2 linked regions of the Caenorhabditis elegans genome follow. The protein of the gene in region 1 purifies or fractionates together with the protein of each later gene. This does not show direct contact. Each region holds a gene or a part of one and is shown on either strand. Other genes may lie near its edges.

Region 1 (14,425 bases):
TTTTGTATAGTGCATACTCCGACGACTTCAACTACGTTCGGATGTTTGAGACTTCCTGAAACTGTTGTCATGTACATAACACGCTCTAAAAGAAAGTTTTTTACCTAATACTCGAATTTCTCTATGAAAAGAAAACTCGTCGGCTTGACTGATTCCATGAAGTTTTTTGACCGCAACTTTTCGGTTTTCAAGCTGACACAAATCGACTTCACCAAACTCTCCTTGCCCAATTCTGCTCACGCAAATCAACTTGTCTCGAGCAATTTCCGGAAGTGTTGTGCAATAAACCTCTCCATAATCGGAGTATTTTACCATAGATGACAAAGGGTTGCTGCAACTTTGAGCATTGTGTGATATATTTTTTGTTGGCTCAACGCACCTTCTCTTCTGTGTATCATATGGACCATCAATTCCATAGAGCAATGGAGTGTTGGCGGTGACATCGGAGCAACTGTAAATTTAAACAATTGAAATGTCAATTGCTCACCAGGCATTTATTGTGTTTGCCCTTTCAGTTTTATTGTGCGCGAGAATGCTACTGTGTGTGGGTATATGTTTAGTTTCAATAGTGTTCATCCTATTTCGAATCAAAATATGTGATTAATTCATCGGCATGTTTCCCATGCCTATTCACACTTCCATTAGCATAGGCAAGCAAAAAACAACTTACACACTAATGTCCGGTTCAGCGTAATCGCTTATAATCGGTGACATGGGCATTTTCTCAATCAACGCATTCTGAAGATTATCGCGAGCCATTTGATAGGTTGACGGAGAAACGTGATGCTTGATGGTGTTTCCGTCAATTGTCAACAGAATTTCCCGTTTCGCATTTGGAGATGGAGACGATGCTTTCACACGATACTCGCGTTTACGGTAGAGAACTGTCAGAATAATGACTGCCACGATGAGGAACATGAAGAAGAAGATAATGAAAGCTGGAAATATAAGATATGCGGTTAAAGAAATATAGATATTAGAATCTTCTTACCAAACATGCTAGTTCCGTCATCGTGCTCGGTTACGGAGAAATATGAAACCGAATCGGGAATAACCACGTCATCATTGAGAAGCTCAATATTTGTGTGATTTGATTCAAAATTCACTTCAGAAATGAACAGCCAGTCGGAGTCAGTTCCAAAGTTAAGACGAATCTTTGCAACTTTGGCAATCCGATTGTTCACTGGAATCCTTATCCATCGAGGTACCTCTGATTCGGTATCTTCCGGATTATTGAAGTGTACGATGGTGTCTGAGAAGTCTTTTCCATTTATCGAAAATAGCACAGTAGCCGAGGAAAATGCCTTAAGCATAATTATTAAAATATTATTCACAAATTGATGACTACCTTTGCGCTCTTTTTGAACTCGTTCGACGTATGAATCAAAATCCCTGATATATTTCTCAATTCGGAAAACTCAAATGCCAACTTCACATTGCCATTTCTTTTACGTCTCCATCCAACCCATTTGTGGTGATTAACAAATACATTGTTTTTTCCCACTTCGCCGTCGTATAACTTCCCAATACCGCCGGTTAAGTGTGGAGAGTTGGCGAGATTACCATCGTAGGAAAAGTCGTGATAAGAGATGCCAGATTGCAAATCGCCTTGATCGACATTGTAAAACACGAGACTATCTGAAAATGAATGTAATTGCTAAATTTCATAAAGGAATGTCTAGGAAACAAAGAAAAAACTTTATAAAACATGATTCATAAACTATCTAGAAACGAAAAAAGTACAAACCATCAAATGGGCATCCGAAAACTTCAACTCTCATGCAAACAGTTCTGGTGGAATTTGAAACTGGAACAATTCTGATTCTTCTTGCTATGATTGCCCGGTCAAGATGTCGCCGGATTGCGTGCTCCGTGTCATTATTAGCAGGAATTGTCTGAAAAATTAACGATAAATTGGATGAAACACTAAAATCAACACCTGTAAAATGACAACAAAATTTTTTTGAATTTTTCATGGCGTTAGATTTCTCAGAAGGTATAAAACATGGAATTTTGTTTCAATAGAGCAAAAGTGATGTTCATTTACAGTGCTGGCCAATGAGTTTTTTTTTTAATTTTGCAAATTTTTCAAACAAATGTGACTTTCACAAACTTTTTATTAAATGTAGTTTTTGAGTTATAGTCGTTTTATTTATCATCATCAAAACAAGACTTATGAGATGTCGAACGCTTTATTTTTTCCCATGAATTTAGTGAATTCCTAATACATGCAAACACAAGTTAATATAGTTTTGAGCAGTATTTTATTAATTCATTCGAAGTTATAATCATTTGAACAATTTGCAAAAATATCAACAAAAAAAATATACAAAAAATAAACTGCCTCAATTCATTATTCACTACAATTTATTCTTATTTATTCCCAAATAGTCTATTAGGTAATCCTGCGACGAACGGTTATCCGCATAACACTTTTATTCCGCCAAGGATTACTGAAGCAAAAAGTCACCGGAGCATAAGAGGATTAACTGGCAGTTACTTGAAAGCCACGCCGCCTACCCATTTTTGGATTGACCCCTAACTAAAGGCTATTCTATTAACTGACCGGTTCGGAAAGCCTTTTCTTAGATATAGACTCATCACCGACGGTTTTTTATGCGTTTTGTGGTGCCCGATGTTCATGTTCAAATTCCTGTTATGCAGAATAGCATGGCTGGCGACATATGTGTCGATATGATCTTGAGCCGATCATACACACGTCTCGACAAGTGGCTGGCAGATGCATTGTCACTCAGTGCCCCCCTCTTCAATTCACTGTACCGCATTTTACGACAATACTTAATTCGTGTCTTCGTACAATGCCCCAGTGTCAAGTGTTTCCTCTATGTATTTGAACAAAATTTCAGCTAATTTACTAAAAAGCCACTAGTGGTTTCTAATGTGGTATGGTAGTCGAGTGAGCCACTTTTGCAGGAAAAATGCACAATGTAATTGAACATGTATAGCGTGTCAATTGTCGATCAGTCTTTTCCGTTTTTTTTCTTTTCATTCTAAGAACAGAAAAAAAACACAAACTAAAAAAAGAACGGAACAACGACACTTTTCCCATCAAAAAAATAACCAAGCACAGGATGTACATGGATAAAAATTTGAATCTCAATAGAATCTCATGATATCTCCGAAAACGGACACAACGAATTGTGGGGCAGAAGACCTTGTAATAAATCTCGAATAACGCGTTTTTGTATTGTATTCTATTCAAATCGTGTCCCGTCTTTCTTCCCCCCACCGTTGCTCGTATAGTGACAGTATGAATGGTGTGTCAAAATGGTGTGTCAAAAGTCATAGCTAGATTTCTATTGTTCTCTTCGCAAGGTTCTTTTTGTGATTCACATATCTCAGATATTTGGGGCTAATGGCGTTAAGCGCATAAATATAACGGTGCGCTTTCCAAAGAGTGCCGATACCATAATTAGCGGTCATTCTGAATGAAAAGGACGAACCTCTAGCTCAAAATCGTCTTTATAAGATGCCCATGCGTTTAGCGAAGGTCGCCAGTACTGAATTTTGAATGCGGTCGCATACTCCATTCCACGTCCGTCGTCAAATCGTCCCTGGGTCTCCACAGAAGTTATTACTGAAAAAATTGGGCTTTTTGTTAGAATTTTCTAGATTCTGCTCGAAACCTGTATCCACGGAAAACGAAATCTGCAACCATTCTTTGCTGAGAGAGTTTATTTGATTCTTCGGACACCAGGCACCACTTCCAGATTCTTGATGAGCTCTGAAAAAATTGAATTGGAATATTAAAATATAAAATTCATTCCCATGTGAAAACAATACATAACGATAAATGTTTAAATGTATTAAATTTGAGACTTGTAGGTAGACAAAAAACATTCCTATGGTGCTTCCAATCTTGTAATAAAACTTTTCAAAAAATATTGGAAATTTCATTTCAAGTCAAAAAGCGGTGAAAACTCAGTTTTCACCCATTTTTTGGACATCGTAAATCAAGAAAAAAATATGTTCCATTCAGTTTTATGTTTAATTTTATTTGGAAAATTCCTATCTCAAGACAGTAGGGGTTTATGCATGCGACAGTATTCACAATTAGAGGTTTTTAAAATAACCGTTTTTTACCGCTTTTTGACTGAAAATAAAAATATTCTACACAAAAAATAAGTTATTTGGATATTTTAGAAGATTAGGAATATTTCTCTACTGACCGTAGTTCACCTTTAAGTGATAAAAAGTATGTTATTTTATATTTATACTATTGTATATTGCAATTTCTCGTTGTGTGGCTCTCAATTTCCATTCCATCTTCCTTCTCCTCTCATTCTCCAGATGAGCTCCTAATCAAGATTTTATCTACGCAATGCAACACATTGCAATTAGGAAGTGAAGCAATGGAAAGCCCCCAGCACCGCATGCGGCCTGTCAAAACAATCAAACTAGATAAATCGCTTGTTGAGGCGTTAACGTATGCTACTGATGAAGCATCACGTTCCCCCGTCAGAAGCTTGTCCAAATTAGATGTGCCATGCCAATGCGCTCTCAATTTCAATTTCAATGAGTTTGGCGAACGCGTGAACTTGCAAAGAGCAGTAATCCCCCCTCTAACCATCTTGTAAAGCCGCCTTTGGGAACGCGTGAATTCTCCTGGGTGGGGTCACAACACTATACAAAACGATGTGAAAGCGGATACCGTAATTAGGGAAGAGACTAATTATTAGGCTAACACAATAGCTCTCTTCCTGTTGACAGTCAGCTCGCTATAATTAAGCAAGATGCCAACTAATTTTTTGTGTAGTGTATTTCAAATTTGAACGGTCCCCACAATTCAAATAACTCGTGAGAAAATGCTAAAAGGATTGGCAGAGAGAAAGTAATTCAAATTTTCTATGTTTCTATCAAGTCCGTGGAAATTTGCATTAAAGTTTCAAGGGATTCAAACGTAGTACGAATTTCAAATGAGTAGTTCCCAAACCACTTACCGAGCATGTTGAGGTCCAGTGCTTTGCAAGTCGAAACTCGAAGACGCCGAGATTTGCTCATCACGAATCTTTCGATTTGACATTCCCAATTGGTGACTGCATTCTCCTGAAACATAATTTATTAATTGGAAAAGAGTTGAAAGAGTTTAAGAGCACCCTATCATATTTCAGCCGCCTTTATTTTTTGGTTTAGTGTACTTATCATTGTATGCTTTGTCATGTAGCCCCGTTTGTTGACATTATGTATTCTCATCCTTTTTCCGACAATGCCTAATCTGATATGCGGTCAACAAGGCTACCGAGAGATGTGCCTAAAAAGAGCAAATAGGACCCGGGTCTGCTGGCATCCTCAATTGAATTTTTTGAGCTCACCAAATCAAACCAATGCTTTCTAATCATATGAGTTGCCGCGTACAACCACAATTTTCGCATGTTTCACGTCGAATTGAAAATCTAAATCTATTTCCAAAAAGGCGAAGACCTCCGCAGAATAATATTTTACGATTATCTTTGTTGCCAGCGGATAATTCCGGATAATTATACCTGTCTTTTACAACCCAAACAGCAGCACAATTTTTATGGTCACATTATGGATTTGCAAGAATTGAGTACCTGACGTCTGTGCGTCAAGACATAAATTAGCAATAAAAATGGAGATTGTGCACACGACCTTCTCGCGCACCAGGTTTATGTTGTAGGACACCACAAGCGATGATTTACAACCAGTAACTAGCAACACTCTCGAGACGTTTTATCATTCTGGTAGTGTAAGATAAACAATTGTTTTGTTATTTGTGAGGTTGAAAGGTGAGAAATACGATGACAAATGTTGTTGATATCCTCTTCTCCGAGTAGTGCTCTAATGGACCAGTGTTGTGACCTTTCGCACGTTCTCCAGGTCAGTTTCCATAGAAATTGCGCATGGCTACTAATCTCTGTGATGTGCGCCGCCATGTCAAGTTGCGCAATCTCGTTAATCATGCAAACGATAACAAAACGGATTACGATAATGCAACTGTCTTCTTCTTTTTTGGGTATTGGAAGAAAACACACACCTAATAAAAAACCTAAGAAATCGAAACAAAAAGCAAAAGCTTTTAGTTGAATGAGTCAGGTAGGTGTGCAAAATGTCAACCTGGCCAATCAAGTTGGCCACGCAATACATACAATTAAGTTTTTTTTACAGCGACATTTTCGGCTCTTTTTTATTTGATAGGCTCGACCAGATACTCGCCAGCAAGTTGTCAAAGAGTGTTTGGTATAAACTGTAAGCAATCGATCATTGTGGCACTTTGTGAGCAGGAACCTCTCGTCGGCATCTTTGTGCATTGCAACAGTTGCGCATCTCCGGAAGCGAGGGGAACCGGCCCGACAAAACTGTCACCCCCATCCGCTTTTGATTATATATTATCCCCCAAAATCTTACAAAACATTGTGGAGAAGCTGGCAGATTTCTGTGCATCTTGTTTTCAAAAACGAGAGAAATGATAAGGACGACTAAAAGAACAATGTTATGATGTGTTATTTAGCAATTGAACGACAAGCAGCTGTCATAGGAAAGACCCAAATGATGAGTTTTCGGGACCACAAGAAATTGGTTTTCGTTTTTCAACGACATTTTTTCCCACTAGTCTACTAACAAATCGAATCATCGTCATCATACACCCCTCTCAAAATATCAAAAATCTAGTGAAAGTAGCCCTCGGAGCAGCAACACTGTGTTGTGATTTATACGCATGTGAGTTGTGAGCATCGAAAATGAAAGGCAATAAATTGAATACTATATTCTACCTCCTGTCACCCAACACCCACACACACAAACACTTCTTTGTCACATTGCGCAATGCAAAGCTATTCAGATTTTACGCTCAATGCTCAAGAATACGGATCGATTGCGATTACGGCAATTACACATGCACCTGCCCCTAATCGGTGTCATCAATTTTCTGAAGAGGTTTAGTGACTTTTTGACTATTGCGAGGGGTCGAGATCTGGTTGATATTTGAAATAGCATTATTTTTATGCATTATTTTTATCTCGAGATTTTGATCATATTGTCATAGAAACAACCCGGCCTATAATTCATCACTATCCACTTGTGACCATCTTTATGTCACTGCAAGTGTCCGATTCAAAACTAACCCACTCCTTTTATGCCTTTTGATATCATCTCCTGCCGCTGACTATTCACAATTTCGCGCAAACTGATGGTATCTCAAAAAAAAGTTAGGTTGTCCCCAAAACGTTTTTTTCCGTTTGTCGGTTTCACCTTCTTAACTGCATACCCTTTTCATCATCATGTCGTTTCCTTTTGCCTCCCATAAATTCCGGCGTGTAAGCCACCAAAACGTGATGAGAGCTAATGGGCGAGGAGGAGAAGAGAAAAAAGTGTACTAGTTTAGGAGTTTAGAGTGCAACTGGTGACAAAAATATGATGCATTTCTAACAATCGTCCCCTCCTCTTTTCTTGGCCACTTTCCCAAAACGGACACTTTTTTGCAATATTGCCATATTTAGAAGAAGGAAAGTCAATTGACCGTACACTTACTTAATTCCAATGCGACTACTGTGTTGCTATGAAATGTGACACCGAATAGATACAGCAGCAACTTCATCCTGACATAGATGAGCGTCGGAGACTCTGAAAAAAGCCAAAAAAGCATATGAGGAAATTGAAAAAAGTGGTCAAAGTCTAGAAGGAACAACAACGTACGAAATTCAATTTGACAGGCCCAAAATGAAATAGAGAAGTGTGAAGAGGGCCTGGGGGCAGATGCTCAAATATCCGCTCTTTTGCGGGAAGCTATTCAGGAAGAGCGCGTTATTATACTCATCTCGGCGGCTTTCATATTTATATTAGAATATATGGAGTGAGAAGAAGAAAAAAGTTGGAATTAACTAGTAAGTTGCAAAAGCCGAAAGCAACGAGGTTGGTGGGTGTGAAAGTTGGAAAAGGAGAAGAGCAACAAAAAAAAATTGGAAGAAATGAAACATGGAAAACGGATAGATGGGGTCAATAGTTGAAGACCAAGAACAGATAAGCTTGTCAAGATGCGCGTGAAAAAAAAAATGCGAGAGGAAGCTAGAAAAATGTAGTTGGTGGTCTTGCTCTTTTTCTGGCGTGTTGTGCCTCCTTTTTCAATTTGCACACACCCTCTCATCAATTACCACTTCACTCAATTTCAATTTCAAGCTGCACTATATGTTAATTTAATGGATCGTACCGTGGTGGTTGATGGGAGCTGTTGCTCCTGACTATTCCCAGAAATTCAAAAGAGCAATTTATACCACCAATGACACTTTCGGTACTCTAAAAAATGGAGAAATGAAAAAGCGAACGTTGTACTCGCGGTAGATGAGGGTGTGAAGTAATGAGAAAACCAATTGGGCTTCTACGATGAATAGGTAGAGAATAGGTGTGAGGACCAACCGCAATATGAGTTTTTGGCAGATGACTTCTCTAGTAACACCGTGACTCAGAGCAAAGAAAATGGAAAAAAATTGGGAGAAGAAAAGAAACAAGTTTTGTAAGAAAGATATATATTAAAAATCATGTATAGAGTGAAGGCTGCTAAGAGATTGCATCAAGGAGAGGGACACATAGGAAACGTAAACCATATGTGTGGAAGAAAGAGAGTACTATGTACATGTGCTTCATTGCATTGCACATTAACCCATCAAGAAGCTGGAGAAAAAAGTTCGAAAGAAGACGATTCAGAAGCATTGAACTCACTCAAACTGTACAAAGCTATGGTTTTTGCACCAAGGAAAAGTGGGTGGCCAGAAAGTGGTGGGGGGGGGAAGAGGGCAGCCTTCGCGCAAGCATAGCAATGAAGAATAGAGGGGCGGAGTCTTGGCGGGAGGGGTGGCGGTCTGTGTGGATCGGCGGTGGTGGTACCTCATCAGAAGCGAAAAGACAGGTGTTGAAGAGGAAGTAGCGAATGTTCTGTAAATTGAACAGTGTCTTGAAAGTTTTATCGCTTTTCAATGAGAACATCCCTGCCCAAGCATCCAAGACAGATGTTCTACGATCAGAAGAAATGGGTATTAAAAAATTGGAGGAGGACGACGAAAAATTAACTGCCTGAGGCAGGTTCAGTGGGAATTAGTACCTCTGAGAAGTATAGCATTTAAAAAACGAAAAACGAAAATATAAGATCCCTAGTGGGAACAAGATTCTTAGGAAGTCATTTTTAAATAGGAATCGTAAATTTGAAAAAGAGGTCTAGAATTTCTAAATTCTAAAATCAAATATTTTATCCGAAGATAGTGCCAAAATTACCAAATTCCATAATAAAACTTTTCAAAGCAATTTTTAAACATTTTTAATGACAGTCAAAAAGTGGCAATTATTGAGTTTTGCCTCTTTAAAAAAATACAGTACTGAAGTTTCAACAAAAAAATTAAATTCATTATAATGTAAGTACACTTAAAAATTCGAAAAACAACATTTTTTTTGATTCACGGCGTTCATAAAAAATGACCAAAACTAAACAATTATCACTTTTTTCAAACAAAATAACAATTTTTTAAGAAACTTCTTACTATGACTTTTTTCAGTATTTTTCTCCGGTGACACTTTTCCGGCATTTTAAATTTTTTTTACAACTAAATCAATAATGAAAATTGTGAGAAAACATTTCCTAACTAACAAAACTAAAAAATATACAGTTTCTCCAATCTATCTAAACTTTAAAAAAAAGTTATATCAGTTTTCTAATAGTGCACTTTTTTTGTGAAAATGCTCATTTTACATGAGTCATTGTTAGATTTAATGATTTTCTGATTTCACAAACAGGGCAGACAAAAAAAATTGATCAAAGTTTTCGTTCGACTCTCTGTTCAATTCCTTGCAGTAGCAGTCAATCACCACTGTTGACTCGTACCACCCGCCGGAAATTCTGACAAATCGACCGTTAAAGACCATTGAAATTGCGAACATACGAAACTGAACAGACACTAACCGAATAACATATCACGCTAGAAGTACGTTCATTTAAAAACGACCTTCCAGGAAGGCTGTGTGTAATTAGAGACAAAGAGTGGCCACGTTGAATGCGCGTCTCGAACGAAGAACGCAATGAGCATGACCATGGTAATGATTTCGCACTTTTATGAGACTATTTGAGAATTCGCACAAAAAGTGGTGAAACAGAAAGACGTAATGTAGGTGAGAAGGTGAAAAAGGTGAAAAGGCGAGAAATAAATGTGCGTGTGAGGTAGTGTAATGTGAAAAACGGAACGAGATCATGGCTACCGGAACAGGCAACCAAAAAAAAAGCGCCGACAGAATTCCTTGAACTTTAAATCTTCAAAGGCTTTTCTTTGTTTTCACGCTTTCGGCTTTTATTTTTCTATTCCTTTTATATGAAAATGTAACGCCGTGGTTCCTGGAAAGTTATGTAACACTAATGGAGGTCAAATGTTTATGAAAGAAATTATGGCGTGTTCTACAAATGCAAACAGTTCCTTTGTTACTTTCACCGCGTTTTGATAACAATTTCAAGTACACAGTAATAATGGGTTATAATTTGTAGTTGAAAAACAAACAGGAATACTTGCAACAACTGGGGGAAATGGCTTGTTTATTCGACTCATCAATCTTCTTTCATTTCCAGCAGAAAAGCTTAGAACAAAAAGAAAAAAATATACTCTTCAAGTGTGTGCCCTGCGCCGTGAGCAATCGATCAGCCGTTCTTCTGTTCTTTAACACCCGCCCGATCAGATCATTAATTAAAACGGCAGAACAACGAAAAAAAAGGGACTGGCGGCTGCTTGCGACCATTGCAAAAGCTTGACTCACAACCTCTTGAGATACTCCAGGAGCTCCAGGGTGAGCAGCTGATTCTTGAGCCGCTGGGTTTTCCAGTGCAATTTAGTGGAATTTGGCAAGACGAAAAGGAGGTAATAAAACTTTTGGCGGAGAGCAATAAATCAGTGGGTCCCCTACTCGCCTCACACGGCTGTCAGTACGAATTAGGGCTCTGCGACCTTTCATCGCCAACGGTAAACTAATATTTGCATGCATGTTATTCGGTTTACCGCAAACGGCAAAAAGAAACACCGACAATACATTTTGGTGGCATAGGTAGCTTGTTGATTAATTTTTGGCTAAAGTCAAACATGCATTGTCATAACAGCCAGCGAAATGACAAGTTTTATTACTTTTCTTAAGGTATGAAAATATCAACCAGAGGGGTGTGCAGAAAATCTACGGGACTGTAAATTTTGGTATAATAATTACGCTTTCAAAGTTAGAAATTAATTTTTTTTAAATTTTTTACAAAAAAAGATAAAATACGGGCAGTGCGAAAATGATTAAAACTTATTTTCATACCGTTAAGATTACAAATTATCATAATAAAACTTTTAAACAGTTTTTGAAAATGTTTTTGTTTCGATTCAAAAAATGGTTAAACCCGAACTTGCGCCAGCTATCACATTTAGTAACACAATGTTCGATAGTGTAATATAAATTTTTTGAACCCAATTAAAACATAAAACTAAAAAAATATTTATTAGTTTTATGTTTTTATCGAAATAAAAATTTTTCACAGTTTTTTGAATAGTTTTATTAACCATTTGACCACTCACTTTAGCCCCATACGAAAGGATTTTCAGATCACCTTTAGGACAAAATAAAAACCAATCTAACAACTTTTTTGCATGTACGGAAGGTATGTATTCATGACTGCCAATTTTTTGAATTCTTGTATATTTTTATTCCGCTTTTGAAAATTTAAAATTCATCAAAATCATCGAAATAATAACTTTCAGTTTTTGAGATTCTCTTAACTAAGTTTTTTGATTTTCGAATACTTTAAAATCAACATATTTTTTCTGTATTTCTCAATTAAAACTGATGAGCATCCATAATAAGCATTTCTTTCTAATTTGGTACACACCGATACACGAAAAACATGCGGAAAGTCTAAGTTCTAACCAAACTGTATTCACTGCCATGTCTTAAAGGTTATAATTATACTCCGAGTCTGATGGCACATAATTAGAAGGCTCATTAAATTGGAAAAGGGATGAAAGGTGAGGAAAAGAGACTGTGAACAACCGGACACGACCTCGAGTAGGTCCTTCGTCTGGTTATCCGCCGTCGACATCTCATGTACTACTACTCCCGTACTAACAACCATCAATTAGTCACACCACACCGTGAACGCCGATAGATTCGGCCCACCGATTTCTTGGCCCCCCTTGTCTTGTCTACCACGCGTATGTTGATGGTGTCGAGGCACGTTGGCCTGGTTATGTTTTCGAGATAAGTGTGGATATGATGACCTTCAAGGTGGAATATGTTGTTGGCTTGTCGGAAAAGATTTGAGAAAGGAAAATTCATTAGTTTATATTTTAAACAATGAGCAGCTTAAAAAGATATTGCATTTCTAGCTCTTCTTTAAAAATAAGTATGGCAATTGAAATATTCTGACAGCAAATGCAATATTTGGACTATACGTTTATTGGAATTTTAATGTTCAGTTGCCAAAGTCTATAAATCTTACAACAACTTATGATTAGTTATTATATTGGGGAATGAAAAATGTTCCATTTTACCTTAAGTTCTAAAGTATAGTTCTAAGCACTCCTGCAATCGTAGTAACGTTGCATCTAAAAGTCTCAAATAGAAGAATAGTATTGTATGCAATAGTAATATAGAAAATACTCTGTATTAAAATTAGTAACACGTATGTCAAAATTCAAGAAATACGTATTAAATACGTTTGTTCTGCGAGTGGTGGATAAAGAAAATTATGTTACCTATGTGTCTTATATTTGAACAGTAATATAACACACTTTTCTATTACTGTATGGATGTCAAATAAGTTGCGGTAAACTGTTGTATACTTTTGCAATATCTCATTTCAAACTCCTTTGACACCTATTATGGTACTTTATTCTACTTGATCTCCTTCAACAAGTTGTTAATTAACAAGAAAGTGAGAAAAATGCGAAATGTGATATGATTGACCTACCAAACTGACCCCACACCAGAAGGATTAGCACATTGGCATGTCTATTGGAAGGTGTCATATTACTAGGTTAGGAACTTGTTACAAAAATTGACTGACAGATTACAACTGGATGCAATCTGTTCCTCCAACAACAATCAGAAAACGGGAAGAGGAACAGATTTAAAATCTTAGAAGAGAGAGAGGAAGGAAATACGTGATAGATATTGAAATTGCGTTTGTGAATTATTCAGGAGGCAAACGGGCTGCCAGATAAAGAACATCACATTGAATAGGATATGAGATTGGAACAATGTTGCGGTTGACAAAAGTCACTAACTGAATATTCAAACCATTCACCATGAATTCAAACATTTTGAAAAAGGGTTCGGTAAATCGTTATCAACAAGAAATAGCGTGAAGGTGCGATGTTTATTACCTGGGAAACTGGCAATTGCTACCTTTCACCAACCGATTGAAAATACACTAATGGCACTAACGTAAGGACAAAGAAATTTTGGGCGAACTGAACAAAATAAATAAAATGAAGGCAAGTGAGGCGAGAAAACAAGAGAGTAAACTCTGAAGGGGGGCACAAAAATACGAATGCATTAAAACCGGGTGAGCCGAGCGAGGAGGTGCATTCTTGATCGTGGGAGCCTCTTTTCTGCTCCTCTTTCAGATCTGACACGACCTTTTGTAGTCGGCTTTTATTGAACGTTTTACGATCATATTCGCATAATTTGTGGAAAAAATTCGTGGCATTCCTTGGAAGGAATTCTTGTTGAATGTTAAAAGCTTATTCCACATTTTTTGAAAGTGGACCACGGCCAATGGGAAAACGGTAAAATCTATGCATATGATGCCGAAATGACAAATCGTTATAGCAAAGCTTTTCAAAATTTTTTAGAAAAGACTCTATACCGTGTCAAAAAGTGGTGAAAACTGAGCTTGGCCATTTCCAAAAAAAATTTAAATATGCATATTTTAAGCATAATTAAAAAATATCGACGACTTCCAAAAAAACTGGAAATTGGTGGAAACTTAGTTTTAACCGCTTTTTGACTCAAATCAAAAAATAAACACTTTTAATTTTATTATGATTTTCGGTAATTTTAGCATTGATTTTCAATCATTTCCCCACCGAGCGTAGTCCATATTTGATCATGCAAAAACTAGGCAGTTTCGAAAATATTTCAGATGTTCTATTTCCTCTGGCTCATTTGCTAGCTGTCACAATCAGAAAGTCCATCAAATATTTCCGCAGCGCCGGTAAAAATTAGAAAACGTGGAAGAATAATGGATGTTGTAGTGATGAAAGAGATGAATTGAGATTGATAGCCCCCGGCGACGCCGCTTTTTTTTTTTGATAAACATACGGCAATGAAGGAACAAGTGTGAGACGTTGGATATAAAATGATGGGAGGCCCCTGGCGCGCTCAATGTGTATATGTCTCTCGGCTTCTTCTCCGGGAAATAGTGCGGGCGCACATAGTTTTGGAG
Region 2 (16,076 bases), on another chromosome or scaffold:
GTTTTACAACTAAAATCGAGCCGCGACGCGACACGCAACGCACCGTAAATCTACCCCAGATATGGCCGAACCAATATGGCCAACTCTTCCATTTCAATTTATAAGGGAAGCCAGAATACTACTCTAAATGAAACTTTATTTTTCATTTTTACCAAATTTTATATCAAATCTTCAATTTCTGATAAACGTCAAATAACCTACAAATTTTCCAATTCAATTAGTACAACAGTTCGACCTTTTGAATTAAGTGACCACTCGTTCCTAACAGTAATCATCAGAATTGAATAGAAGATGGTTTAAACCGAATAGCTTTGACTGATCAAATCGGAGAAGAAATGTACCTCAAAAGTGCAGAACTTGTTAGAAGACAAAAGGAAAATGAGAGAAAGAAGGATAGGCAAAAAAGAATACCGTAGTAATTCCATACCTATTTTTTTCATTCGTTGTTTAATCGTGATTATCACTTGAAAACAACAAAATCAAATAAGTTGAACGTAAAGGCGAAATGACAGGTAAAGAAAGGGATTTTGCGATGGGGGGAAATGAAACCAAATATATTTGAGATGATTAAGGAAATGCCACCTGGCAGCACATACAGACTGTTTGGAATGTTTGTAGATATTAAACTAACAAATGATTTCAGAATCAGGAACATAATAAAACACACATTCGGATATACACACGGTCTAAGCCTAAGCCAAAGCATAAGCCTAAACATATGCCTAAGCCTAAGACTAAGCCTAAGGCTAAGCCTAGGTATATGCTTAAGCCTAAACCTAAGCCTAAGCCTAAGCCTAAGCCTAAGTCTAAGTCTAAGTCTAAGCTTAAGCCTAACCTAAGCCTAAGCCTACGCTTAAGCCTAAGTCTAAGCCTAAGCACAAGCCTGAGCCTAAGCCAAAGCCTAGATTTAGCCTAAGCCTAAGCCTAAGCCTAAACCTGAGCCTAAGCCTAAGCCTAAGCCTAAGCCTAAGCTTAAGCCTAAGCCTAAGCCTAAGCCTAAACCTAAAAAAAACCTAAGCCTAAGCAAGCCCATTCATAACAACGGATCAATACTTTGCATAGCTTGCTTTTTCATTGCCTCTCCAAAAGGTGTTCCTTTTTTATTCATTTATTTCATATATATCTTCTCCGATCATTACCCCCAGCCGATTCAACAAAAAAACCCGATTATCTAGGGAGAACACTTCGGGAAGAATAAGACGGCTGCGGAAAGTACAAAGCCTTAAACAACAATGTCACGGAACATTTGGAGGGAAAAACTTGGTTAGACTGGCGGAGGACACTTGGCAGGTGTTGTTTTCATTTGTTGCATGGATTTTTTATGGCATGGGAACCAACCATATATTTTTTTTGCAGGTCAAATTTCTCTCTTTATGTATTCACGCTCTATCGATAAACTTAAAACTTTGGAGAAGGGCCCCTACGACAATATGGTGCACCCCTAATAATTAAACCTAATAATTATATTTAAACTGTTTTTTTCCATCTTTTTTCTTTCTCTTTCTTTCTCTCAATTTTTCCTGCCGTTTAGAAAAACGACGCCGCAGGAATACCTGTTCTCTTTTTTTTCTCGAATCAAACAAAATATCTTACAAATTATATAAGGTTTTGTGTATGTCTATGTGTGTGTGTGACCTTTCTCGATTTGGGCAAAAAACGACCTTTTTCACATCGCAACCAAACATGGAGTCAACGTCATCAGTGACTTCCGTGTAAGCATTTGATCACTGGAACCGTAATTGATAAATGTTGAAAAACGGAATGGGCAAATAACTGTTTTTTTAAAAATTTTATAAGAAATTTTTTATTCATTGGCAGATTTTTAACGCCTAAAACGCTACAGTTTGCACAAAGCCAAAAATCATTTTCCAAATTTTGATTTGTTTAAATTAACTGCACAGTATGAACTTTTACATAAAAACGGGTTTCTGGCTTTCCTCATAAATTGAAATGGAAGAGTTTGCCGAACTAGGTCATTTCGCTCGGCTTTATCTGGGGTAGATTTACGGCGCGTTGCGTGTCGCGTCGCGGCTCGATTTCAGTTGTAAAACTAAATGTATTTGTCCGTGTGCAGTACACGACTTTCCCACGCGTTGTCCGGCAGGCGATTGTCAATGGAGCGCGAAAAATTCAATGAGGAAGGACAGAAGCCCGTGCATAAAGATGGTTGAAAATTAAAATAATTTATTTTGATTGTCTATGAAGACTACACAGCCATATATTCCTAAAATCAAAATTTGAATTTTTGAGAGTTCCTTTTTCCAGATTTCAGATCTTCCAGATTTTCTGTTCAACTTCCTATTTTAAGAATTCTTTCCTAACTAGTCTTTCCTAGGACTAACCTATTTTGTTCAGTATTTTCTAATAGTTTTGACAATTCTGAACAGGTTTATAAAAGAAAAAAGAATCGCTTCATATGATTTTTCCGTCATTCTGGAATTTTTAAAAAATCAGCTTTTCATTACTTTTATAAATTTTTAAATAATACTTTCGTACATGCTAGCCTTATTCGCCTAGGATTTTCTCATAATAATGCTAATTCTGAACTACTTTATAAAAGAAAAAAGAATCGCTTCATATGATTTTTCCGTCATTCTGGAATTTTTTAAAAATCAGTTTTTTTAATCAATTTTTTAAAAATACTTCCGGTCAAGCTAACCTACTTTGTTTAGTATTTTCTGATCATTATTCCAATTCTAAACTATTTTATGAAAGAAAAACGAATCGCTTCATATGATTTTTCAGTCATTTTGGAATTTTGAAAAAATCATCTTTTTATTATTTTTATCAATTTGTAAAAATTACTTCCGGTTAAGCTAACCTACTTTGTTTAGTATTTTCTGGTAGTTTTGACAATTCTAAAGAGGTTTATAAAAGAAAAAAGAATCGCTTCATATGATTTTTCCGTCATTCTGGAATTTTGAAAATATCAGCTTTTCATTATTTTTATCAATTTTTTAAAAATATTTCCGGTCAAGCTAAGCTATTTTGTTTAGTATTTTCTGGTAGTTTTGACAATTCTAAATAGGTTTAAAAAAGAAAAAAAAAGCATTTCATATGATTTTTCCGTCATTCTGGAATTTTGAAAATATCAGCTTTTCATTACTTTTATAAATTTTTAAAAAATACTTCCGTACATGCTAGCCTAATTGGCCTAGGATTTTCTCATAATAATGCAAATCCTGAACAGGTTTATAAAAGAAAAAATAATCGCTTCATATGATCTTTCCGTCATTTGGGAAGTTTGCTAAAATCCAAAAAAAAAACTCCATTTTCATTTATTGATTTTCCGAAAAAAAATCGTTCAAATATTTCGTATCATGCTTCAAATGTTTATTTTTGATTACACAATCGCAAGCTCAAATATATAAAAAATCTACGTAATAAAGTAACTGTTCAATTTTCAGAGAATGTATACAACACGTTGCAGCTACTGTTGGCGTGACTGCGGCTCGAGAAATCAATCCAGTTGTTAGTAGGGTGAGTTTTTTTTTGTGAATTAAAAAAACAAAAGAAAATAAAATAAAAAACTTGCCATTTTCTGGGCATGGCTAATGGTAAAAATTTACAAAACATTTTCTCATTAATTTGATATTAAGTGTTACCAAAAATGCATGACCAGCTTTGCAAAATGTTAAAAAAAAAGGACCCGTGAAATGTCGGCCGCGCTACGATATCTTCAAGAATTATTTCAAATTAACAAGCTGTCCAAATTAATGACTAAAAAATTATAGCAACCGACATCTCACAGGTTGTTAGAGAAAGGTTACATGGTGCATCGACCGGAAATATCTGACTCAACTTTGACTACTTATATCTCTGCTGGTTTTGGTTTTTTTTTGAAAAAGTGTCAATTGACAAAATATTTATCGTTTTTTCTACTACAACTTTGCATTTTAACACTTTTTGATAGCAGCAGACTTAGGCTTAGGCTTGACTTAGGCTTAGGCTCAGGCTCATGCTTAGTTTTAGGCTAAGGCTTAGTTTTAGGCTTAGGCTTAGGCCTACTCTTAGGCCTAGTTTTAGGCCCAAAGGATAACCTCCCGGAAATACCGAAAAATCCAAAAAAAAAGTTCTAACCAACCTCTTCAGTCTCCTCAACTTCCACTTCCTGGGGTTTTAAAAATTGCGAAAAAACAATTAAATCCCAAAATTGTTTATTCACATTTTTCACAACAAATGCGCCTTTCTGATTACACTGAGGACATTTTTTATCTCTAATTTTCTCACGACAACTGTCACATAACGTATGACCGCATGTGCCGATGCAAGGGATTCGGATGGCGTTGTCTGTAAAAACATCCATTTTTGGAGCGTGTCCTATATTTTGTAAGTAGAGATTTTTGAAAACTGACAGGATTGTCGCATGTTTCGACCCCTACAATTTTTCAATACAAATAATTAAAACAAAATTGAAGTATAAAAAATGTAGGAAAACAAATTTTTTTTTTGGTCGACTTCCAAAATTATGAGTGGCAAAAACTGAGTGGTTGTCACTTTTTGACAGTAAATAAAAAAGTTTCTAAAAACTTTTGAAAAGTTTTATTATGATATTCGGTACTTTTCGGATTAAAGGAGTGGATCTTAACAATCTTCCCACTGGCGCTACTTCACCTCTAATGATTTAAAAATGAGTTTTTTGTAAAATTTGAAAAATCATTAAAATAATTTTTTTAAAACATAATTTTCAGTAATTACACCCAACTCTCTAAATTTCCAAAAAAAATGAAAACTTTCAGAAAAATTTCCAACAATATTCACCATATTCCTCATAGCAAATTCCACACTCTGCAACTTTACTCATTAAAAAAAAAACAACTAAATGTATTTATTGAAGAGAATTTCAAAAAGTCAAATTCATCATTTATATATTATATACTAATGTAAGGTGAGAAATTGTCTAAGGAACCATAGGAATGTTTCCTTCCTCATCGCAATTTCTCATTTCATGAGTTTACTACTTTCCTGCAAAAAGATAACATGTATCTTAGGAACTAATTTTTATTTCAATTTATTTATTCGAATCGCAGAAATTTCCGGCAATTTTGGCTATTGCCGATATTACAGAAACTAAATTTGCAAAAGTTATCAGTTATCGGTAATTCTAAGCCTAAGCTTAAACCTAAAACTAAGCCTAAGCTTAAGCCTAATCCTGAGCCTAAGCCTAAACCTAGTAAATAATTTTACCTCTAGTTTCACTATGTATCATTTCAATTCAATAACATGCAAAAAAGTAAATGGACAAACTCCACTAAATTCAGAAAACCTTTGCTTCTGGTAAATACTCTTTAGGCAGCAGGTGATTTTAATTGTCTATAGGTGTTATAACTCCACAATAAATTCTTTTAACAAGTTATTATATATTTTTATTTCCAGCTCCCACTATGAATGTTGACTTTAAAGACCCTGTATGGCTAATCAATAGTTACAATTTTGTTGGTATTTTTTCTATATCAATAAATACGGCGACTATTTTTTTTGATTATTTTCAAAAGCGAGAAGATGGAGAGTATGAAGTATCATATTCTGGCGTTTCAGGTGATCTCCTTTAAATGTGGAGTATCGAAATCTGGAAAATATTTTTAATTGACTCCAAATTTTCCGCTGATTCCGAATCTCGATGTGAAAAAAATCAAAAATTCAAAAAAATCTGATAGATTTGGATTCTAGATTTTTTAAAAATATTATAGATGAGTTTTTGGGACAGGAAAGTAAATTTAAGCCGCGCTAGAGAGGTTTTTGTGTCGAGTTCCAATTTTCACAGGTATATGTAGGCGCAAAAAAACAAAAATAAAAATTATGGAATTCCGGAAGAATTGAAGTAAATTTAAGCCGCGCTAGAGAGGTTTTTGTGTCGAGTTCCAATTTTCACAGGTATATGTAGGCGCAAAAAAACAAAAATAAAAATTATGGAATTCCGGAAGAATTGAAGTAAATTTAAGCCGCGCTAGAGAGGTTTTTGTGTCGAGTTCCAATTTTCACAGGTATATGTAGGCGCAAAAAAACAAAAATAAAAATTATGGAATTCCAGAAGAATTGAACTCATCCCACCCCTCCCACTCCCACTCCCCAGTCGAAGCAGTTACCGACTGATCCAGGGAGGATGAGGGAAGCCTAGCTCCTCGGTGTGTGTGACTTTTCCGACCTAGATTTACAAATTAAAATCAAAACGGTTCACGGAAAAAAGTAATGACTGTTGAAAAACTGCTTATTTTATTGCATTTGTTCAATTTATTAAATTTTCCAATTTCCCGGTTGCCAAAAAATCAATAAAATTCAATTTTCAGAAAACCAATAAAATTATATTTCTCATCAAAATTCAAATTTCTATGACGTCGCCAGAATTAAATTTCTAGGTCACCGGTGACGTCTTCAGGCATAGTTTAAGTTTTCTAGGCCACCAGTGGCGTCATTTATTTCCCCAGGTATAATTTGAAACTTCTAGGCCACCGGTCACATCATTAATTTGTCTTCCACGGTCAAAATATTTCTCTTCCAGAACTAAAATAAGATTTCTAGTCCACCAATGACGTCATATCTTCTCCAAAAAAGCTATCAAGGTTTCCTAGACCATTAGTGACGTAATAAGTAGGCAATGATATTTCTAGGCCACGGCCCCCCCCCCCCCCCTCTGATCAAAAAACAAAGTTATGAGTCAACTTAACTTATTAGAATGCTGACTCACCCAGTCAACACCAATCTAATCTTTCCCTGTCTCCTCCCTACCACTGCCTGCGCCTCTCCGTCTCGCGCGCTCTCTCTCCCACTCCGCTCACCGCCTGCGTCTCCGTTTCTCTCCCGGTCATTCCTCATTCACTCAATCTTGCAAAATTTCGGTTGTAACGAATTTCGAGTTAGATTTTTTCTAAAAATAATCAAAAATTCCGTCGAAAAATCAACTTGCGGCGATGCTCAACGTGGAGCCCTCATTTGCAGAGGAGCTGCGGAGCAGCGGGGTTTCTCTGTCGGCTACTGTGAGTTTTTTATTAGTTTTTTCCCCGAAAATATAAAATTGTCTTTCAGTACCTCGGAAGTGTTCCAGTAGTCGAGTCAATTAACGTGATGGTTTCCGAGATGAGAGTTCAAGTTGTTTCGTTAGTTTTTCTTATGGCTTAAAATCAAAAAAAAATCTTATTCAAAAATTTAGAAATCAGGCGGTAGGCAGGCATGAAGGCAGGTAACATCTGCAAGCTCAAATATATAAAAAATCTACGTAATAAAGTAACTGTTCAATTTTCAGAGAATGTATACAACACGTTGCAGCTACTGTTGGCGTGACTGCGGCTCGAGAAATCAATCCAGTTGTTAGTAGGGTGAGTTTTTTTTTGTGAATTAAAAAAACAAAAGAAAATAAAATAAAAAACTTGCCATTTTCTGGGCATGGCTAATGGTAAAAATTTACAAAACATTTTCTCATTAATTTGATATTAAGTGTTACCAAAAATGCATGACCAGCTTTGCAAAATGTTTAAAAAAAAGGACCCGTGAAATGTCGGCCGCGCTACGATATCATCAAGAATTATTTCAAATTAACAAGCTGTCCAAATTAATGACTAAAAAATTATAGCAACCGACATCTCACAGGTTATTAGAGAAAGGTTACATGGTGCATCGACTGGAAATATCTGACTCAACTTTGACTACTTATATCTCTGCTGGTTTTGGTTTTTTTTTGAAAAAGTGTCAATTGACAAAATATTTATCGTTTTTTCTACTACAACTTTGCATTTTAACACTTTTTGATAGCAGCGAAATAAACTGAGATAATTACATGGTGCATCGACATGCTCAAATTTTGATAGCTTATATATCCAGTAAAATTCAGCCAAAAGCCTGCCACTATAGAATGTACTAAAGCAACCGACATCTTACAGGTCGATCAAAAATCGCGCTAAATGATGTCAGCCGCTATTCATAGAAAAGTTATTATCACTAATTTCGACTAAAATTATTGCAGCCGACACTTCACGGGTCGATGAAAAAGCCCAGGTAAACCATCCTTATTTTCAGGTAATCGGTGAAGTGAAAAAAGAAAACTTCCCCGTAGACATCAACATTTCCTCGAAAATGATCAAAATCATAAAACAAAGTCGTCTAATTCAACGTCATCCCTTCTCATTCTTCTCATTCGGAGCCCAAGGCCAAAAGGGTACGGACACGGAGCTAATGTTCGGCTACATTGCAAAAAACAAGGATGGAACGGATCGTCGATGCCACGTGGTGTTCATCGAGGATGTGCACAAGCTCATCGACGTCCTTACCACTGCGATCAATGTGAACACTTTTGATGCACAGGCGAATGCTTCAACTTCTAACGATGGATTTACGGTGCCGGCGCCGCCGATGAGACATCGAAGTTCCCTGCATCGACAGTCATTTGTGTCGAATTGCCGAGCACCTACTGTAACTGAGGATGTTGTGGGGAAAGTTTGGTATCATGGAAATTTATCCAGAGAGGATGCACAGGCTTTGTTGAAGACGGAAGGCGATTTTTTGGTTCGGTAAGGTTTTTTAGATTTTTTATAGAAAAAAGCTAGAATTTTGCTGAATTTCTAAAACGTTTGGCTTCATGCTCACTAGGTTCACACCAGGGGCGCGTGGGAATCGGAAATTTTCGGCAATTGCCAAAATTCCAACTGAATGCCGACATTTTCGGCAATTTTCAAACCTAATTATAATTCGAAAATTGAAAAAAAAGTTAACTGTGTTTTCAGTATTCGATTAGTCATTTTTAAAAGCAAACGGTCAATACTTAAAAAATTAAAAAATGTTTAGGCTCCTAAATCTACAAAAAAATATCAAATCTATATTTTCGGCAATTCGGGCAAAATTTGATTTTCGAAGAAAAAGGCTAATGTTTTAATAATTGGCAATTTTTTGGTAAAACCTGAGATAAGTAAAATATGAGCTATGATAGCTGATCAATGCATCATGTCTTCCATGTAACTTTTTCCAATCATATCTCGGTTTATATCGCTGCTAGCAAAAAGTGTTCATCTGCAAAGTTGTAGAAGAAAAAAGGATAAATATTTTGTCAATTAACAATTTTTCAATAAAACCACAACCAGCCGAGATATAACCTGCCAAAGTTTTGTGAGATATTTCTTGTCGATGCACCATGTTTCTCATGTAACTTTTTCCAATCATATCTCAGTTTATATCGCTGCTAGCAAAAAGTGTTGAACTGCAAAGTTGTAGTAGAAAAAAGGATAAACATTTTGTTAATTAACAATTTTTTAATAAAACCACAACCAGCCGAGATATAACCTGCCAAAGTTTTGTGAGATATTTCTTGTCGATGCACCATGTTTCTCATGTAACTTTTTCCGCTAATATCTCGGTTAATATCGCTGCTAGCAAAAAGTGTTCAACTGCAAACTTTTAGTAGAAAAAGTGATAAATATTTCGTCAATTGAAATTTTTTAAATAAAACCAAAACCAGCCGAGATATAAACTGCCAAAGTTGCGTGAGCCGGTCAATGCACCTTTCTTTAACAACCTGCGAGATGTCGGTCGCTATAATTTTTTACTAATAGTAAATCGGATAGCTTTTTAATATAAGCCTATTTTAACAGACTTCGTAGAAAAATCTGAAAGTCTAAAAAAATCAAATTTGACTGAAAAAATAGTATGAAAAATCCTTTTTTTATATATTTCTGACTTAAAGCTTCAGTCACATTTCATATCTGTAATTTGTTTGATAATATGTTCAGAAGCCACGGGACTTTAAATAATTCTTGAAAGACCAGGGAAAAATTTGGTATAATAAGTTCATCCTCCCAAAATTTTTTTAGATTTTTGTTTTAGGCTGAAATTTTTGTTCAAAAAAAATTCTGCGTTTTTTTTCCTGAAATACAAAAGATGCAAGGTTTGCATGATGCTAAGATTGTCTGAAGCAGCGGACACCTCACAGTCCCCCTTCTCTAAAAAAAGACCCGCAAGCTGTCGGCCGCTCAAACTTGTCCAGTTCCTTGCAGACAAAGCGACCACACGCCCGGCAAGTACGTGCTGAGTGGCCGAACCGCTGAAAACGAGCACAAACATCTCATCCTACTGGACAATCACAACGTAAGACCCTCCCCCCCCCCCCCCGCCAAACCTTCAAACCTCTCAAAATTCCAGAGAGTCCGAACCCGCGATCGCACGTTCAGCAACATCTCCGAGCTCATCGACTATCATGTGAACAATGGGATGGCCGTAAGATCAGAGGGTCGGGATCGCGAGACGTCGTTGAATCTGATCCGACCTGTGCCGTGCCCCGGAAGTGATGATATCGAATAGAGTCGGAATTTGTTTCCTATTTTTTTTTCGATTTCTAGCAGAAATTGAAAGTCGAGTAGCAAATTGCGTAAGACTTTTTCCTCTTCTCGTCGCCCCCCCCCCCTCTTTCATATAATTAGGTAGTTGTCCTTCTACCGTAACATGTCATTACTATCCTCTTTCTTTCCTTCTTTTTTTTGCGATTCTCCTCCTCGGCCACGCTCCAATTATACCCCCCACCCACCTGTATTCTTACGCCACCACCCCAACCAGCGCACACATCTTTTTGTATTCATTTTTCCATATATATTTGTATTATTACTACTATTACCCTCACTACTGTTATCGATTTTTCCCTCCACAAATTTATGATTCTGCACTGGATCATTTGGTCGGTGGTTGTGGTGCTGCCACCGCTGATTCGATCGGTGGCCATTGTGGACACTTCTATTGCGTGTGATAAGGTAGGGATGGCCTAGAAAAGTCACCTAGTCCAACACTCCCACCCCGTATCTATGTTTCTGCCATCTTGTGATATTTGCTCCATACCATATACCCTGCCCATTTCTGTCCTACTTTCATATCCTGAAAAAATGAAGTATTTGAGAATCGAGTTTTGAAAATATTAGTGGTGGCCTAGAAATTTTAGGCTTGGGTTTAGGCTTAGGCTTAGGCTTAGGCTTAGGTTCAAGCTTAGGCGTAGGCTTAGGATTGGGCTTAATCATGGGTTTAGGCTTAGGCTTAGGCTTTGGCTTAAGCCGAGACTTAGGTTTGGCGTCAGTGGCGAGCGTTAGCTTGCTACTGACGCTATTTAGGCTTAGGATTTTCCGGTTTTTTTTAGGCTTAGGCTTAGGCTTGAGCTTAGGCTTAGGCTTAGGCTTTGGTTTGGGCTTAGGCGTAGGCTTAGGCTGAACCTTAGGCTTAAGCTTAGACATTGGATTAGGCTCAGGCTTAGGCTTTTTGGAAGATGTGTGGAGCCAATAAAAAGTTGCATGGAAAAAATATGACGTCACAAATGACCTAAAATGTTTCATTGTTTTTGGCAAAAACACAATAGTTTAGAAATTTGGCTGCAAGAAGTTCCTCGGCCTAGAAACTCTCTTAAACTCTCGAAAAAGCGAATTTGAAGGGCATTTAATGGAAGATTAAAAACCCAGGCCAAAACCTTGAAGGTCACCACCCAAAAGGAAAAAAACGTCTTCAATATTGCAGACAGATTTCCTATTGAAAATCAAGTTTGACGAAAACTTCCGTGGCACGATACAAAGTCGCGCGGGCCATCCAAAGTGTATCTATGCAAATGGCACGCTTCAATCGGACACCAAATATCAGTTGAAGGTTTGCCTATTGAATGTATTGAATTTTTGGGCATTATTTGCTTAGATTCCGCTGACTGGCTGCTCGACCAAGGAGAACGGAGAAGGCAATTTGGAGAATGAGATCGAAGTTGTCATGGCTAACAATGAGTGGGTTTTTTTTTGCCATGTGGTACTAGGTTTTTTGCCGCTATGCTCACAAGGAAAGTATTTCCGCTCAGTTTTAAAGGTGGAGTAGCGCCAGTGGGGAAATTATGAAAAACCATTCATTTGGTCCCAAAGTGACCGAATATCATAATAAAACTTTTTTTTTTTGTAAATGTTTTATTTACTGTCAAAAAGTGGCAATTACTCAGGTAGTTTTGGATCATAATAAGTGTATTTAGACAAAATCCCCCACTGGCGCTACTCAAAATTTAAACTTGAAAATTAAATTTTTGAATTTTGAAAAAAGAGCTTTCAAATAGGTACCTACAAAAAATTCAGCGACATACGAGCACTTTAAACTAGAAAAATCTCGCTCTGAAGTTGCTGCCAGTGAATTTTTACTACCAAATTTGGAGGCTAGTTTAGAGATTTTTGAAAAATTTCATGATTTTTAGGCTATTTCAATATATACAAGTATTCTGAAAGCAGTTTGGAAATTTTCTGATTTCTCCTAATTTCTAATTTTTCTAATTTCTCAAATTTCTCCTAAAATCTGCAACTTTTTTCACCCAACAATTTTCATCGATCAGGATATTTTTTGGAATTTTTTTTTCAAAAAAAAAAAAACATTTTGCAAAAAGATTCCAGAATATTTGCCAACCTCGAAATACCCTAAAAATCATGGGGTTCTGGCGCGCCATGGCCTTCCTCATTGAGATTCTCGCGCTCCATTGGCAATCGCCCGTCGGGCAACGCGTGGGAAAGTCGTGTACTCCACACGGCCAACTACATTTAGTTTTACAACTAAAATCGAGCCGCGACGCGACACGCAACGCGCCGTAAATCTACCCCAGATATGGCCGAGCCAAAATGGCCTAGTTTGGCAACCTCTTCCATTTCAATTTATGAGGGAGGCCAAAAATCTGTGATTTCAGATCGATTTTTTTCTAATGTAGAATGATGATCATATTATGGTATTACCGGTACAGAGAGTGTAGATAGTTAGAGAGTGACAGACATCCGGGACCCAATGGGGCGGGGCGCGCGGAAGAGACGATTTGTGTCGATTTACGAAATTTTCCTCGTTGTCATCATTTCGTAAATCGACACGAATCGTCTCTTCCGCGCGCCCCGCCCCATTGGGTCCCGGATGTCAGTCACTCTCTAACTATCTACACTCTCTGTACCAGTAATATTTGTTATTGAAACTAATTTTTTTAGGAGCATTTTTTTTATTCCATGGTACCTAAAAAACCATATACGAACAAAAATAGACAAAAATAAAAAATAACTTCCTCATCGTTTTTTTTTAAGATTCAATGCAGAAACCGACAAACGATTCCTTCTGACCTGTATACCTGCTGCCCCTGTTCCTAAAGAATCTCAGGTGACCGTATCATTTGGTGGAATCACTATCAACTCGGATGCCACCACAGCAAGCAGCCTATCGGATAATAAGGTAAGGCTTCAAAATTATCGCTGCGAGACCCATATAATGTTTCAGACAGTCGACTACCGAGTTCGTGTTCTAGACGGCGACAGTTTGGATTCAAAGCAGCTACAACGTCCGTTAGCAGTTGGTGATAGAGTTGTAAGTCAGGAACTCCATAAATCAAAAGAAACTATTTGTAAATTGTAGACGTACACAGTTGAAATGAGCGATGATCAGAATGGACGAATCGGAAGGTGTTGGGCGAATGACGGGATATCCGAGCTACCACTGTCGGACTCACACGGATGCTCTTTGCAGACTTCTGGGGAGGTACGGTTTCATTAAAAAAAACATAGTGCATCGACATTTAAAACTGCCGAAAACTGGGTCCTGCCACCAGTTTTTCAAAAAAAAAAACTAACATTTTGCTCAAAATCATCATGGTGCATCGAAGAAACTTACAAAATTGGGTCGGTCAAACTTTTGGGGCTCTGCTTCGATAGTGAGTGGAGTACCAAAATTTGATACTTTGCCTTTTTAGACCCAAAATGGTCCAAAAACTACCAAATTTCGTATTAAGACGTTCTGAAAATTTTTCAAAAAAAAAAGTTATTATGACCTCTCAAAGTTTTGGAAAAATGGTCGATTTTTAGCTAAAATCTCAAATTTTGGCACCTTTTTAGTGTCGGAGCGGTTGGAACATATTTTTATGCATGTTTTTGCAATTTATCACGTGTTGTTTCTAAAATTAAGCTCCAGCTGTGACATTGAAAAGTTGCCAAAATTTGAGATTTTAGCTAAAAATCGACCATTTTTCCAAAACTTTGAACGGCCATAACTTTTTTTTTTGAAAATTTTTCAGAACAGGTTAATACGAATATTGGTAGTCTTGGACCGTTTTGGATCTAAAAAGACAGAGTATCAAATTTCGGTTCTCCACCTTTAAGCATGGCCAGGTGCTTTTCTAAAAATCGTGTAGCCCATAACTAATGCATCATTCGGGATATATTATTGAAAGAAAAAGTCCTGCACAAAATTTCGCGCTGAACACTCATTTTGATACATTTGGAAAAATCGATAATTTTCATTGATATTAAATACCCATTATGATTTTTTTTTTAATTTTAAAGGTGGAGTAGCGCCAGTGGGGAAATTACTACAAACCACTCAAATGGTGCCAGAATAATCGAATATCATAATAAAACTTTTCAAAATGTTTTTGAAAATTTTTTATTTACTGTCAAATTGGCAATTACTCAGTTTTTGCCACTCATAATTTTAAAAGTCGACCAAAAAAAAATTTTTTTCTACATTGTATAAAAACATTGTGTGGGTCGAAACACGCGACATTGCTTTGGATTTCCTCAAAAGCTCATATTTTTTTTCAATATTTTGGCAATTTGCCAAAACTTTGACCGGAAATTTTGAAAAATCTTAAATATTTTGGAGTGTTTCATTAAGATATTCGATCGTTTTGGATCATAATAAGTGTATTTAGACAAAATCCCCACTGGCGCTACTCCACCTTTATTTTTATGCCACTTATGCTAAGTGCGGTTTAAGTTCTACTAATATAAATCTTCATGGTGCATCGAGAAAAAAATGATACATTTTTAAAACTCTCTCCTTTCCAGGATGCACCATGTTTGACGTGAAATTCATCATGGTGTATCGACAAAAAAAAAAACAAAATGCTTCAATTTCTTATTTTATACACACCTGATCAATTTTCATTCCTGTGCATTTTACAAAATTTCACGCTGAAAATGTATGGTGCATTGATAAAAATTGAGAATTTAATAGGAACCTAATGAAATTGAATTTTTTACAAATCTATTGTTTTGCTAAACTTTCCCAAAACATCGGAAGGGTTCTTTTTTTTTTTTTCTAAATTTTCTCTTTTTTTCTCTTCATCATGGTGCATCGAGAAAGTATCAAAATCTGAGACTTTACTTTTTTAGATCAAAAATGACCCAAAACTACCGAATTTCTAAATGAGACGTTTTGAAAAATTCTCAAAAAAGAGTTATGGCCGCTCAAAGTTTTGGAAAAAAAGTCCCATTTTCAGCTAAAATCAAAATTTTCGCCAATTTTTTTCTCGGTCGGGAACTCAATTTTTATTTATAACTATAATATCACTCTTTTATAAATATTGTGGCCCTTTATAAGCCGTTTATTCGTCGATTAAAGTGCATTTTCGGGCAGTGGGGCACAAAAAAAATTACATTTTTATTCCTCCCCCAGCCCCCAAAACATTAGATTTTAGCTGAAAATATGCTATTTTCCAGAACTTTGAACCGCCATAACTTTGTTTTGAAAAATTTTCAAAACGTCTTACTAAACAATTCGGTAGTTTTGGGTCATTTTTGGTCTAAAAAAGTAAAGTCTCAAATTTCTTTACTCCTCCTATAACATTTTTTCTCGATGCACCATGATGATATTAGAGAACATTGGAAAACTAAAAAGATGTTTAGGGAAAGTCTAGCAAAACATCTTTAAATTTCAAAAGAAAATTATTTAGCGTCGATGCACCATGTTTGGCACAAAATTCATCATGGTGCATCGACCAACTGCATATTATTTGAGACTTCCATAGAAAATTGTTCCAGGTGTGGGGAGACTTTGAAGTGACTCGACGCAATGGTAAGACCATCTTCTACAACCACATAAAGGCCTGGGCATTCCCAACGAGGTAAGCCTCTTAAGTTCTTTGTTCATGTTCACCACCCACCTCTCAACGACTATTATTCCAGCAACGAGGTGAACATCTTCTGTAACCTTCACGTCTGTGTCACGTGTACCCAGGCCGCGTGTCGTGGACGGGAACGTCGACATAATCCTCCTCCTCAGCATTCTTCAACCGTCTCTGATCCCTTCTCGTCGACAATCGACGTGTCCGACATCTCGCCACCGATCGCCGT

What was found.
Region 2: the proteins of ddr-2 (region 1) and shc-1 purify together in Caenorhabditis elegans (affinity purification with western blotting, with the first as the bait; one study listed by BioGRID). This does not show direct contact.

Annotation. Positions count from the first base shown.
Region 1 is NC_003284.9:3,308,498-3,322,922, reverse strand, and holds the start of ddr-2 (Discoidin domain-containing receptor tyrosine kinase B), read right to left. Parts: upstream 7,610-14,425; 5' UTR 7,577-7,609; coding exon 7,510-7,576; intron 7,470-7,509; exon of another isoform or gene 7,190-7,469; intron 5,868-7,189; exon of another isoform or gene 5,068-5,867; coding exon 4,962-5,067; intron 4,640-4,961; exon of another isoform or gene 4,320-4,639; intron 3,746-4,319; coding exon 3,648-3,745; intron 3,599-3,647; coding exon 3,465-3,598; intron 2,922-3,464; exon of another isoform or gene 2,642-2,921; intron 1,896-2,641; coding exon 1,748-1,895; intron 1,639-1,747; coding exon 1,349-1,638; intron 1,305-1,348; coding exon 992-1,304; intron 939-991; coding exon 671-938; intron 452-670; coding exon 380-451; intron 332-379; coding exon 105-331; intron 56-104; coding exon 1-55. UniProt on the Caenorhabditis elegans protein: Tyrosine-protein kinase receptor which, together with ddr-1, is involved in axon guidance to establish the tracts for the ventral and dorsal nerve cords during nervous system development.
Region 2 is NC_003279.8:963,885-979,960, reverse strand, and holds shc-1 (SHC-transforming protein homolog 1), read left to right. Parts: upstream 1-6,827; 5' UTR 6,828-6,908; coding exon 6,909-6,974; intron 6,975-7,023; coding exon 7,024-7,094; exon of another isoform or gene 7,095-7,240; coding exon 7,241-7,313; intron 7,314-7,874; exon of another isoform or gene 7,875-8,010; coding exon 8,011-8,501; intron 8,502-9,977; coding exon 9,978-10,068; intron 10,069-10,122; coding exon 10,123-10,281; 3' UTR 10,282-10,628; coding exon of another isoform or gene 10,629-10,724; 3' UTR 10,725-10,873; downstream 10,874-16,076. Other genes in the region: cutl-20 (ZP domain-containing protein), read left to right, coding at 10,629-10,724, 11,473-11,598, 11,644-11,726, 13,038-13,182, 13,228-13,314, 13,363-13,485, 15,765-15,847, 15,909-16,076. UniProt on the Caenorhabditis elegans protein: Scaffold protein which plays an important role in the activation of the JNK pathway composed of mlk-1, mek-1 and kgb-1; by bringing together mek-1 and mlk-1, promotes mlk-1-mediated phosphorylation and activation of mek-1 which in turn phosphorylates kgb-1.